Xenopus tropicalis: one gene and its partner. The protein of the gene in region 1 purifies or fractionates together with the protein of each later gene. This does not show direct contact. Links are inferred from orthologs where the notes say so. Each region holds a gene or a part of one and is shown in the gene's direction. Other genes may lie near its edges.

Region 1 (6,284 bases):
ACTGGCACTGCCCCCCAGCATTGTACTAATGGGCCCCACGGGTACAGGGGGTTATACTGTGTCACACTGGCACTGCCCCCCAGCATTGTACTAATGGGCCCCACGGGTACAGGGGGTTATACTGTGTCACACTGGCACTGCCCCCCCCAGCATTGTACTAATGGGCCCCACGGGTACAGGGGGTTATACTGTGTCACACTGGCACTGCCCCCCAGCATTGTACTAATGGGCCCCACGGGTACAGGGGGTTATACTGTGTCACACTGGCACTGCCCCCCCAGCATTGTACTAATGGGCCCCACGGGTACAGGGGTTATACTGTGTCACACTGGCACTGCCCCCCAGCATTGTACTAATGGGCCCCACAGGTACAGGGGGTTATACTGTGTCACACTGGCACTGCCCCCCAGCATTGTACTAATGGGCCCCACAGGTACAGGGGGTTATACTGTGTCACACTGGCACTGCCCCCCCAGCATTGTACTAATGGGCCCCACGGGTACAGGGGTTATACTGTGTCACACTGGCACTGCCCCCCCAGCATTGTACTAATGGGCCCCACAGGTACAGGGGTTATACTGTGTCACACTGGCACTGCCCCCCCAGCATTGTACTAATGGGCCCAACGGGTACAGGGGGTTATACTGTGTCACACTGGCACTGCCCCCCCAGCATTGTACTAATGGGCCCCACAGGTACAGGGGGTTATACTGTGTCACACTGGCACTGCCCCCCAGCATTGTACTAATGGGCCCCACAGGTACAGGGGGTTATACTGTGTCACACTGGCACTGCCCCCCCAGCATTGTACTAATGGGCCCCACGGGAACAGGGGGTTATACTGTGTCACACTGGCACTGCCCCCCCAGCATTGTACTAATGGGCCCCACGGGTACAGGGGGTTATACTGTGTCACACTGGCACTGCCCCCCCAGCATTGTACTAATGGGCCCCACGGGAACAGGGGGTTATACTGTGTCACACTGGCACTGCCCCCCAGCATTGTACTAATGGGCCCCACGGTACAGGGGGTTATACTGTGTCACACTGGCACTGCCCCCCAGCATTGTACTAATGGGCCCCACGGGTACAGGGGGTTATACTGTGTCACACTGGCACTGCCCCCCCCAGCATTGTACTAATGGGCCCCACGGGTACAGGGGGTTATACTGTGTCACACTGGCACTGCCCCCCAGCATTGTACTAATGGGCCCCACGGGTACAGGGGGTTATACTGTGTCACACTGGCACTGCCCCCCCAGCATTGTACTAATGGGCCCCACGGGTACAGGGGTTATACTGTGTCACACTGGCACTGCCCCCCAGCATTGTACTAATGGGCCCCACAGGTACAGGGGTTATACTGTGTCACACTGGCACTGCCCCCAGCATTGTACTAATGGGCCCCACAGGGTACAGGGGGTTATACTGTGTCACACTGGCACTGCCCCCCCAGCATTGTACTAATGGGCCCCACGGGTACAGGGGGTTATACTGTGTCACACTGGCACTGCCCCCCCAGCATTGTACTAATGGGCCCCACAGGTACAGGGGTTATACTGTGTCACACTGGCACTGCCCCCCAGCATTGTACTAATGGGCCCCACAGGTACAGGGGTTATACTGTGTCACACTGGCACTGCCCCCCAGCATTGTACTAATGGGCCCCACGGTACAGGGGGTTATACTGTGTCACACTGGCACTGCCCCCCAGCATTGTACTAATGGGCCCCACGGGTACAGGGGGTTATACTGTGTCACACTGGCACTGCCCCCCAGCATTGTACTAATGGGCCCCACGGGTACAGGGGGTTATACTGTGTCACACTGGCACTGCCCCCCCAGCATTGTACTAATGGGCCCCACGGGTACAGGGGGTTATACTGTGTCACACTGGCACTGCCCCCCAGCATTGTACTAATGGGCCCCACGGGTACAGGGGGTTATACTGTGTCACACTGGCACTGCCCCCCCAGCATTGTACTAATGGGCCCCACGGGTACAGGGGGTTATACTGTGTCACACTGGCACTGCCCCCCCAGCATTGTACTAATGGGCCCCACGGGTACAGGGGGTTATACTGTGTCACACTGGCACTGCCCCCAGCATTGTACTAATGGGCCCCACGGGTACAGGGGGTTATACTGTGTCACACTGGCACTGCCCCCCCAGCATTGTACTAATGGGCCCCACGGGTACAGGGGTTATACTGGTCACACTGGCACTGCCCCCCAGCATGTGTACTAATGGGCCCCACGGTACAGGGGTTATACTGTGTCACACTGGCACTGCCCCCCAGCATTGTACTAATGGGCCCCACGGGTACAGGGGGTTATACTGTGTCACACTGGCACTGCCCCCCCAGCATTGTACTAATGGGCCCCACGGGAACAGGGGGTTATACTATGCCAGCCTGGCACCTTTTAGGGTAGAAGCAAGAGATGGAAAGGGTAAAGACACTCTGCCCATGGGAAGGAATGATACTCAGAAGCTCACAATCTATGAGGAATAGGACCCCCCCCTCCCCATGTTGCAACAGGCACATTTCCCTTCCTGATCCCCTTAGTACAAATAGTAGTGGGGATAGGGCACAGCCACTGTGGCAGTTACTGATGGGGGGGTTCTTTGTTGCCCCAGGAGAGTGAATTTTCAGACGCGGACCTGACTGCGGCCGGGGACACGGAGGATGGAGAGAACGCCCCGGTGTATTGTATCTGCCGAAAGCCGGATATCAACTGCTTCATGATGTGAGAAATACACGTGTGTGATTGGGGGGGGGGTCATTCCATAGCAACATGCACCCCTCATCTAGCCAGGGGGGGCGTTAATGCCACTAACAGCCCATATAATGCCCCTAAGCTGACACCGTGCCCACTGCAGCCTGATCTCTATCCTGGTTTGTCTCTCGGCAGCGGCTGTGACAACTGTAACGAATGGTTCCACGGGCACTGCATCAACATCACCGAGAAGATGGCAAAGGCCATACGAGAGTGGTACTGCGTGCAATGCCGAGGTAAGCACCAAGGGGCATTATGGCAGGGGCGGGGGGTGTGGGAGGCAGTTCCGGTGGGGGTTAGAGGCCGGTAGGGCGGGGGATGTGGGGGGCAGTTCCGGTGGGGGTTAGAGGCCGGTAGGGGCGGGGGATGTGTGGGGGCAGTTCCGGTGGGGGGTTAGAGGCCGGTAGGGGCGGGGGTGTGGGAGGCAGTTCCGGGTGGGGGTTAGAGGCCGTAGGGGCGGGGGATGTGGGGGCAGTTCCGGTGGGGGTTAGAGGCCGGTAGGGGCGGGGATGTGGGGCAGTTCCGGTGGGGGTTAGAGGCCGGTAGGGGCGGGGGATGTGGGGGGCAGTTCCGGTGGGGGTTAGAGGGCTCGGTAGGGGGCGGGGGATGTGGGGGCAGTTCCGGTGGGGGTTAGAGGCCGGTAGGGGCGGGGGATGTGGGGGCAGTTCCGGTGGGGATTAGAGGGCCGGTAGGGGCGGGGGATGTGGGGGGCAGTTCCGGTGGGGGGTTAGAGGCCGGTAAGGTGCGGGGGATGTGGGGGGCAGTTCCGGTGGGGGTTAGAGGCCGGTAGGGGCGGGGGATGTGGGGGGCAGTTCCGGTGGGGGGTTAAGAGGGCCGGTAGGGCGGGGGATGTGGGGGGCAGTTCCGGTGGGGTTAGAGGCCGGTAGGGGCGGGGGATGTGGGGGGCAATTTCCGGTGGGGTTAGAGGCCGGTAGGGGCGGGGGATGTGGGGGCAGTTCCGGTGGGGGTTAGAGGCCGGTAGGGGCGGGGGATGTGGGGGGCAGTTCCGGTGGGGTTAGAGGCCGGTAGGGGCGGGGGATGTGGGGGCAGTTCCGGTGGGGGTTAGAGGCCGGTAGGGGCGGGGGATGTGGGGGGCAGTTCCGGTGGGGGTTAGAGGCCGGTAGGGGCGGGGGATGTGGGGGGCAGTTCCGGTGGGGTTAGAGGCCGGTAGGGGCGGGGGATGTGGGGGGCAGTTCCGGTGGGGGTTAGAGGCCGGTAGGGGCGGGGGATGTGGGGGGCAGTTCCGGTGGGGGTTAGAGGCCGGTAGGGGCGGGGGATGTGGGGGGCAGTTCCGGTGGGGGTTAGAGGCCGGTAGGGGCGGGGGGATGTGGGGGGCAGTTCCGGTGGGGTTAGAGGCCGGTAGGGGCGGGGGATGTGTGGGGCAGTTTCCCGGTGGGGTTAGAGGCCGGTAGGGGCGGGGGATGTGGGGGGCAGTTCCGGTGGGGGTTAGAGGCCGGTAGGGGCGGGGGATGTGGGGGGCAGTTCCGGTGGGGGTTAGAGGCCGGTAGGGGCGGGGGATGTGGGGGGCAGTTCCGGTGGGGGTTAGAGGCAGTAGAAATATATAAAGGTGTGCCTTTTGCCCACGTGCCAGACAAACACCCGCACCTTGAGATCAAATACAGACACAAGAAGTCGAAGGAGCGCGAGAGAGAAACGGAAAAGGATGAAAATGAAGAGACTGCAAAAAATGAAAAAAAGAAAAGCGGCAGCACCAGCAGCAGCAGCAACAAGGTACCCCGGGTAGGTACCTAATGTGTATTTACCTATATACCTGTGCTGCTGTACGTACAGGCTATGAGCAAACTTAGGGGGCTGTTCCTGCTGAATTGTGCTTAGTACAGGGGAATCCCTATGTGCCATAGTTTTATGGTATCTCTCTGTACAGGCTATGAGCAAACTTAGGGGGCTGTTCCTGCTGAATTGTGCTTAGTACAGGGGAATCCCTATGTGCCATAGTGTTATGGCATCTCTCTGTACAGGCTATGGGCAAACTTAGGGGGCTGTTCCTGCTGAATTGTGCTTAGTACAGGGGAATCCCTATGTGCCATAGTTTTATGGTATTTCTCTGTACAGGCTATGAGCAAACTTAGGGGGCTGTTCCTGCTGAATTGTGCTTAGTACAGGGGAATCCCTATGTGCCATAGTTTTATGGTATCTCTCTGTACAGGCTATGAGCAAACTTAGGGGGCTGTTCCTGCTGAATTGTGCTTAGTACAGGGGAATCCCTATGTGCCATAGTGTTATGGTATCTCTCTGTACAGGCTATGGGCAAACTTAGGGGGCTGTTCCTGCTGAATTGTGCTTAGTACAGGGGAATCCCTATGTGCCATAGTTTTATGGTATCTCTCTGTACAGGCTATGGGCAAACTTAGGGGGCTGTTCCTGCTGAATTGTGCTTAGTACAGGGGAATCCCTATGTGCCATAGTTTTATGGTATCTCTCTGTACAGGCTATGAGCAAACTTAGGGGGCTGTTCCTGCTGAATCGTGCTTAGTACAGGGGAATCTCTATTCCAGTCCAGTTTGCACCCAGACACTCAGTAGAACTCACATTGTAGGGCTGGAGGTTCCATGATATGGGGGTACGGAGTCAGTAAGACATGTGGGGGTGCCCGTGGCCATACTGACTCGCCGTTCCCGTTACAGCAGCAGATTAAGCGCTCGGCGCGCATGTGTGGCGAGTGTGAGGCGTGTAGCCGTACAGAGGACTGCGGCCAATGTGACTTCTGCAGAGACATGAAGAAGTTTGGGGGGCCCAATAAGATTCGGCAGAAGTGTCGGCTGCGCCAGTGCCAAGTCAGGGCGAGGGTAAGTAGACGTGCCCCTGTCTCTCCCGGGGCAGAATGGCCTCTCCTTTCCGCCCCAGTGGTGCCTGGATATTCCATTCTCCTTCTCCAGAAAATGCTGCGGGTGAAGGACGACGACCTGTCCTTGTTCCGGGACACCCCAGAGCCCAGCAGCCTGGCCGGGTCGCTGTCCGACGATGACTTGCCGCTGGACCCAGAACTCTACCAGGAGCTGTGTGCCGGGGGAGCCTTCGACGACCATAACCTGGTGAGCTTCCCCACACGGGTACTGGGTGCCGTTCCGCATACGGTTCCTTCCAAACGGTTCTGACCTGTGTGCTGTCTCCACAGCCGTGGCTCAGCGACACCGACGACACGCCCTTTCTGGACTCAGTTATGAGGAAGAGAGCGGTGAAAGTGAAACACGTGAAGAGGAGGGAGAAGAAGGCAGATAAGAAGGTATGGATGCCAGAGTAGGCACGTGCCCCCTGTGTGTATGGTGGGGGGCATAGGGGGTACAGAGGCAAAGCTGAAGGGGGGAGCCTGGGGTGTCTTCCTTTTATATCTTAACCACTGGGGGGCATTTGGGTTCCAATGACATCTGTTCAAAGGTTGCATGGTATCTGCCCCAGGGTGCAGGGATGCCGAGCCTTGGCCATTTATTTTCCCCCATGGTAAGACAGCTGGCACAGTGACCCCCCATTTCCTCCCATTCAGAAGGA
Region 2 (6,796 bases), on another chromosome or scaffold:
GGGGCAGTAACTATGTATAATGTGTATAGTAAGGGCAGAGGATGTCTGGGAAGGGGCAGTAACTATGTATAATGTGTATAGTAAGGGCAGAGGATGTCTGGGAAGGGGCAGTAACTATGTATAATGTGTATAGTAAGGGCAGAGGATGTCTGGGAAGGGGCAGTAACTATGTATAATGTGTATAGTAGGGGCAGAGAATGTCCGGGAAGGGGCAGTAACTATGTATAATGTGTATAGTAGGGGCAGAGAATGTCCGGGAAGGGGCAGTAACTATGTATAATGTGTATAGTAGGGGCAGAGAATGTCTGGGAAGGGGCAGTAACTATGTATAATGTGTATAGTAAGGGCAGAGAATGTCTGGGAAGGGGCAGTAACTATGTATAATGTGTATAGTAAGGGCAGACAGACAGTAACTGTGAATATAGTAAGACAAAGTGGTGTTACAGAACTTTATTTCTGTGCCATTAAACAAATGGACTCCAAGTGGTTTTAAAGACTGTTTGGGGATGCTGGGAGTTGTAGTGTAGAGCTGCAGTCTGTATGATTGCTAGCTCTGTGGCACAGTATAGGCCTCTCAGGGAGACACAGAATGAAATGGAAATGGGAGAGTTAAACCTGAGGCAGGGATGGAGTCCGGCCTGGCATTACAGCTTTACACTAGCCTGTGCAACATGGCAGCACCACGGGCAGCATAAGGCAATACTGTATCTCTAACAGTGTTAATGCCATTCCCTGTTTAACCCTGTATTTCCCTGCATTGCTTTGCCACTAACTCACCCCCTTTCCCAGGATTCTGCTCCCCAGTATCCAGTGGCCGGATTCTATCTTTAGAGCTGCCTGTCATTACTGTTCCCCTCTGCCCCTAAAATCTGATTTCCCTGAGTATTTAAAGGTGTTTGTGGGGTAATCCCCACAAATAGGCTTAGTGCAATGGGCTTTTCCTGGGAAAGGGAATCGGGTTGGGATTGCACTTAATCTCTTTTCTGACCCCTCTGTCTGTAGAGTGGGGGTACAGTAGAGTGGGGGTACAGTAGAGTGGGGGTACAGTAGAGTGGGGGTACAGTAGAGTGGGGGTACAGTAGAGTGGGGGTACAGTATAATGTATCTTCTTTTTAGCGGTGCCTCTGGTCATGAATCTCTTTCCAAGTTGCAGAGTTTAAACAAGGGATGATGGGAGTTGTAGTTGGGGCACAGGTTGGAGGTATAAGATTCTTAAGTTACAACTTTTACTTCTGGCCCAAAACCATGTTTCGTATAATACACTGCAGAGCGCTGGGAGCTGTAGTTCAGCAGCTGGTGGCTCGTGCTTCTCTAACACTAACTGTAGCGCTTAGATTGATCTTGAGAGGATGCTGGGAAGTTTAGTCTAACTACACCTTTCCTGCATGCAGAGCAGCATAATCCCTTTCTGTAGGGCACAGGGGAAATTAAGGTTTTGGGGCATTAATTAGAACTATTTGTTGTGCAGGGGGTCATGTAATTATATTCCCAAATGTTAAACCAGATCTACTAACCCTGAGCAACCAACCAGACTTTTGCTTTTAAACATGTGATCGGCCAATCATACCTGCTGATTATCTGTTAGGCATACTAGCCCTAGCAACCAGGCAGTTGTGTGAATGACAGACTGGTAGATGAATAAGAAAAGGTCTGGAATGAAAAGATATTATTTATATATTTCACAATTTATATAGTAAATATACTATAATATGTATATATTGAAATATAGGCAATTGTCTCAAAATAATGTTTATATCATGCTAAAAGATAACAAACTTCCCAGCTGAACCCTCTAGCCAATTCCTGACCCATCTGCCTTCCCCACAGGTTTCCCTTTAGCCTCCGAAGTCGGACCGTCTCCCAGGCCTTATAACAATAAGGGCTGTTACCGGGGCTACTAGCCTAATGGCAGCGGCTGCATGAAGAGGAATGTCACTGAACCTGCCGCTTCTCCTCGATGGTGACAGTGTCCATGGTTGTGTGCCCTCCGGCTACTGCTGGTGCTGACAGGTGAGCTGCTTCTCTGCTACCTACAGGGTGATTCACTGGGGAATGCTGGGATACGGCAATGGGATCTGACCGAACTGTAACTCTTTATGGTGCTAGAGGCAGGTAAAATAATCTCTATATGCTGAATGCTTCTAGTTACAGCACTGGTAATGGCCCATATTGAATGTTGTGTGATCTGGGCTCCAGAGTTCCAATGGGATGTTAATGATATAGAGAGTACAGGGAAGAGCGACTAAGCTGATAAAGGGAATGGGCTCAGTTATGGGGAAAGGCTGGCCCAGCTGGGATTGGTTACACTGGGGAAGGGGCAGTTAAGGGGGGGTCACTATATATAAATATATAAGGGGGGGGCAGTAATGAAATAGAGAAAGTACAGGGAAGAGCGACTAAGCTGATAAAGGGAATGGGCTCAGTTATGGGGAAAGGCTGGCCCAGTTGGGATTGGTTACACTGGGGAAGGGGCAGTTAGGGGGGGGGGTCACTATATATAAATATATAAGGGGGGGCAGTAATGAAATAGAGAAAGTACAGGGAAGAGCGACTAAGCTGATAAAGGGAATGGGCTCAGTTATGGGGAAAGGCTGGCCCAGTTGGGATTGGTTACACTGGGGAAGGGGCAGTTAAGGGGGGGGGGTCACTATATATAAATATATAAGGGGGGGGCAGTAATGAAATAGAGAAAGTACAGGGAAGAGTGACTAAGCTGATAAAGGGAATGGGCTCAGTTATGGGGAAAGGCTGGCCCAGTTGGGATTGGTTACACTGGGGAAGGGGCAGTTAAGGGGGGGGGGTCACTATATATAAATATATAAGGGGGGGGCAGTAATGAAATAGAGAAAGTACAGGGAAGAGTGACTAAGCTGATAAAGGGAATGGGCTCAGTTATGGGGAAAGGCTGGCCCAGTTGGGATTGGTTACACTGGGGAAGGGGCAGTTAAGGGGGGGGGGTCACTATATATAAATATATAAGGGGGGGCAGTAATGAAATAGAGAAAGTACAGGGAAGAGCGACTAAGCTGATAAAGGGAATGGGCTCAGTTATGGGGAAAGGCTGGCCCAGTTGGGATTGGTTACACTGGGGAAGGGGCAGTTAAGGGGGGGAGGTCACTATATATAAATATATAAGGGGGGGCAGTAATGAAATAGAGAAAGTACAGGGAAGAGCGACTAAGCTGATAAAGTTGACTTGATACTGCATGATCCACAACCTGATGGTACAATTGTTCTGCTAATCTTATGGGTTTTACTATATAAACTAGTCTATAATACGTATTTTGATGCTTATAGATGTGAGTTAGTAGTAATTATAATAAGAAATAATAAATAAAAAGAGAGAGTAAGCAACATGGCAGCTTTGGATTTGGGAATTTGTTTGTTTGGCCCCAGCTGTGTTTGTCACACAAATGTTGGTTGCTGAGGCAGAAGACAAAGGGGCAGTTATACTAATGAGCAATTCCACCCCATGACTTTGTCCATAATTGCAGGACTAACCCACAATGTGTCGCTTGTGTCATTTGTTTGTATGGAGCTGTTCCTATGGAGTCACTGATGGTCTCACCGTGCTGCAGTGCTGTAAATAACAGAATGCAGAGACCATGTGAGACAGTGTGTTAAGAGATGGATGGTGGGAGACCACAGACCCCCTGATGTACCCCTCTCTTCATGGGCTTCTATGGGCACCTGGTATAATGAGATTTGGGGCAGTAAATAGGCCCCCCAGTATGATCTAATGATTGGCCCAAGGACTGAATAATTGGAAGTTCCCAGATACCCATAGGACATTGCAGTGCCAGGTAAGACTAAGAGTTAGGGTAAAAAAATTGATATGTTCAACCCTATTGGACAGAGGCCAGCTTAAAGGGGAAAGACAACCATTAACTGTTTTGCCTAGTGTCTGTAATGGTTATTTTTTTTTCTCTGCACTGCTGGTTCTGACTCCTGATACAGGATTTATAGTTATGTGTAACTGTCACTGTGTCTGTCCCTTTCCCTTCCCTGCACTGCTGGTTCTGACTCCTGATACAACTCCCCAATACCCATTCATTCCTCATTCTCACTGGGTTTATAGTTATGTGTAACTGTCACTGTGTCTGTCCCTTTCCCTTCCCTGCACTGCTGGTTCTGACTCCTGATACAACTCCCCAATATCCATTCATTCCTCATTCTCACTGGGTTAATAGTTATGTGTAACTGTCACTGTCCCTTTCCCTTCCCTGCACTGCTGGTTCTGACTCCTGATACAACTCCCCAATATCCATTCATTCCTCATTCTCACTGGGTTTATAGTTATGTGTAACTGTCACTGTGTCTGTCCCTTTCCCTTCCCTGCACTGCTGGTTCTGACTCCTGATACAACTCCCCAATATCCATTCATTCCTCATTCTCACTGGGTTTATAGTTATGTGTAACTGTCACTGTGTCTGTCCCTTTCCCTTCCCTGCACTGCTGGTTCTGACTCCTGATACAACTTCCCAATATCCATTCATCCCTCATTCTCACTGGGTTTATAGTTATGTGTAACTGTCACTGTGTCTGTCCCTTTCCCTTCCCTGCACTGCTGGTTCTGACTCCTGATACAACTCCCCAATATCCATTCATTCCTCATTCTCACTGGGTTTATAGTTATGTGTAACTGTCACTGTGTCTGTCCCTTTCCCTTCCCTGCACTGCTGGTTCTGACTCCTGATACAACTCCCCAATATCCATTCATTCCTCATTCTCACTGGGTTTATAGTTATGTGTAACTGTCACTGTGTCTGTCCCTTTCCCTTCCCTGCACTGCTGGTTCTGACTCCTGATACAACTTCCCAATATCCATTCATCCCTCATTCTCACTGGGTTTATAGTTATGTGTAACTGTCACTGTGTCTGTCCCTTTCCCTTCCCTGCACTGCTGGTTCTGACTCCTGATACAACTCCCCAATATCCATTCATCCCTCATTCTCACTGGGTTTATAGTTATGTGTAACTGTCACTGTGTCTGTCCCTTTCCCTTCCCTGCACTGCTGGTTCTGACTCCTGATACAACTCCCCAATATCCATTCATCCCTCATTCTCACTGGGTTTATAGTTATGTGTAACTGTCACTGTGTCTGTCTCTTCTCTGGTTCTGACTCTTGACACCATGTAGCAGAAGACAATTCTCCTCCCAGTCTGCTCACTAGCTGGCTTCTGTGATGTTCTTTAAAGAGCCAGAACCAGCAGTGCAGAGTCTGTTTCAGTTTTTCTTGTTACTGTAGAACCTGGGGTTGCTGGACACATAATGAAGCCATAGTAATATCCAAGTTCATGTTACGGAGATTTCCCCGGTGTTGCCTGTTATTTTTAGGTTAGTGCTGGTTTGTATCTCCATGTGCGCAGAAGCCCCGCCTTACATGCAGATCAGTTATTAGCAGATACCCACGTGCCCTGCTGCCATCTCTTACTTGTACTTATAAGTCAATAGAGATAAGTATTGTTTCTAAATCAATGGCTGCTGAGTCTCACTAAGGGGAAGCTGTCATCAATAACCTGCTTTGTTTGTGCTTAGTGAGTGGTGCTGGATACAGTAGGTACATGTTCCGGTAGCCTCACTGCCGTATCCAAGTCCATCTGGTCCTGTTCTGACACGAGTCACGAAGGGGCCATTAATCCTCCATCAGTGCTTCTGTTCTTTACATCTCTGTTGGGTTTGCCCTTAGCAACCAAACCTGTGTGTGCGAATGACAAGATGAAAAATGGTTAGGAGGAGACCAGCTGAGACAGATAAGCAAAAACTCTGGGAGTTATAGTTTCACCAGCGTCCTGCAGGACATACTGCATCTATATACTGTAAAAGATATATTGTATATAAATATTATACTTATACAGATATTCATTTCTATTATTCATGTGTGTTGTGCAATACTATTACATGGATGCGTCTATAGTTTAAATAAATACCCCGCTGTGTAGCCCCGGGGGCAGCCATTCCTGCACTGGTACAGCTGGGGTGTTTGCTACAGAAACCCTACTATAGTTTATATAAATACCCCGCTGTGTAGCCCCGGGGGCAGCCATTCCTGCACTGGTACAGCTGGGGTGTTTGCTACAGAAACCCTACTATAGTTTATATAAACACCCCGCTGTGTAGCCCCGGGGGCAGCCGTTCCTGCACCGGTACAGCTGGGGTGTTTGCTACAGAAACCCTACTATAGTTTATATAAATACCCCGCTGTGTAGCCCCGGGGGCAGCCATTCCTGCACCGGTACAGCTGGGGTGTTTGCTACAGAAACCCTACTATAGTTTATATAAATACCCCGCTGTGTAGCCCCGGGGGCAGCCATTCCTGCACTGGTACAGCTGGGGTGTTTGCTACAGAAACCCTACTATAGTTTATATAAATACCCCGCTGTGTAGCCCCGGGGGCAGCCGTTCCTGCACCGGTACAGCTGGGGTGTTTGCTACAGAAACCCTACTATAGTTTATATAAATACCCCGCTGTGTAGCCCCGGGGGCAGCCATTCCTGCACTGGTACAGCTGGGGTGTTTGCTACAGAAACCCTACTATAGTTTATATAAATACCCCGCTGTGTAGCCCCGGGGGCAGCCATTCCTGCACTGGTACAGCTGGGGTGTTTGCTACAGAAACCCTACTATAGTTTATATAAATACCCTGCTGTGTAGCCCCGGGGGCAGCCATTCCTGCACTGGTACAGCTGGGGTGTTTGCTACAGAAACCCTACTATAGTTTATATAAATACCCTGCTGTGTAGCCCCGGGGGCAGCCATTCATGCTGGAAAAAAAGAGAAAAGGCACAGGTTACA

The links. Proteins that work in one complex are often made in the same cells at the same time.
Region 2: the proteins of cxxc1 (region 1) and bod1 purify together in Homo sapiens (affinity purification with mass spectrometry; 4 studies listed by BioGRID and IntAct, counting the BioPlex papers as one, with this or other methods). This does not show direct contact. The link is inferred for Xenopus tropicalis from reciprocal best matches to the Homo sapiens genes CXXC1 and BOD1.

What each region holds. Positions count from the first base shown.
Region 1 is NC_030684.2:1,158,430-1,164,713, forward strand, and holds part of cxxc1 (CXXC-type zinc finger protein 1), read left to right. Parts: intron 1-2,637; coding exon 2,638-2,747; intron 2,748-2,912; coding exon 2,913-3,013; intron 3,014-4,368; coding exon 4,369-4,517; intron 4,518-5,422; coding exon 5,423-5,830; intron 5,831-5,913; coding exon 5,914-6,021; intron 6,022-6,279; coding exon 6,280-6,284. UniProt on the Homo sapiens protein: Transcriptional activator that exhibits a unique DNA binding specificity for CpG unmethylated motifs with a preference for CpGG.
Region 2 is NC_030680.2:152,362,164-152,368,959, forward strand, and holds the start of bod1 (biorientation of chromosomes in cell division protein 1), read left to right. Parts: upstream 1-2,055; 5' UTR 2,056-2,112; intron 2,113-3,712; exon of another isoform or gene 3,713-3,803; intron 3,804-6,796. UniProt on the Homo sapiens protein: Required for proper chromosome biorientation through the detection or correction of syntelic attachments in mitotic spindles.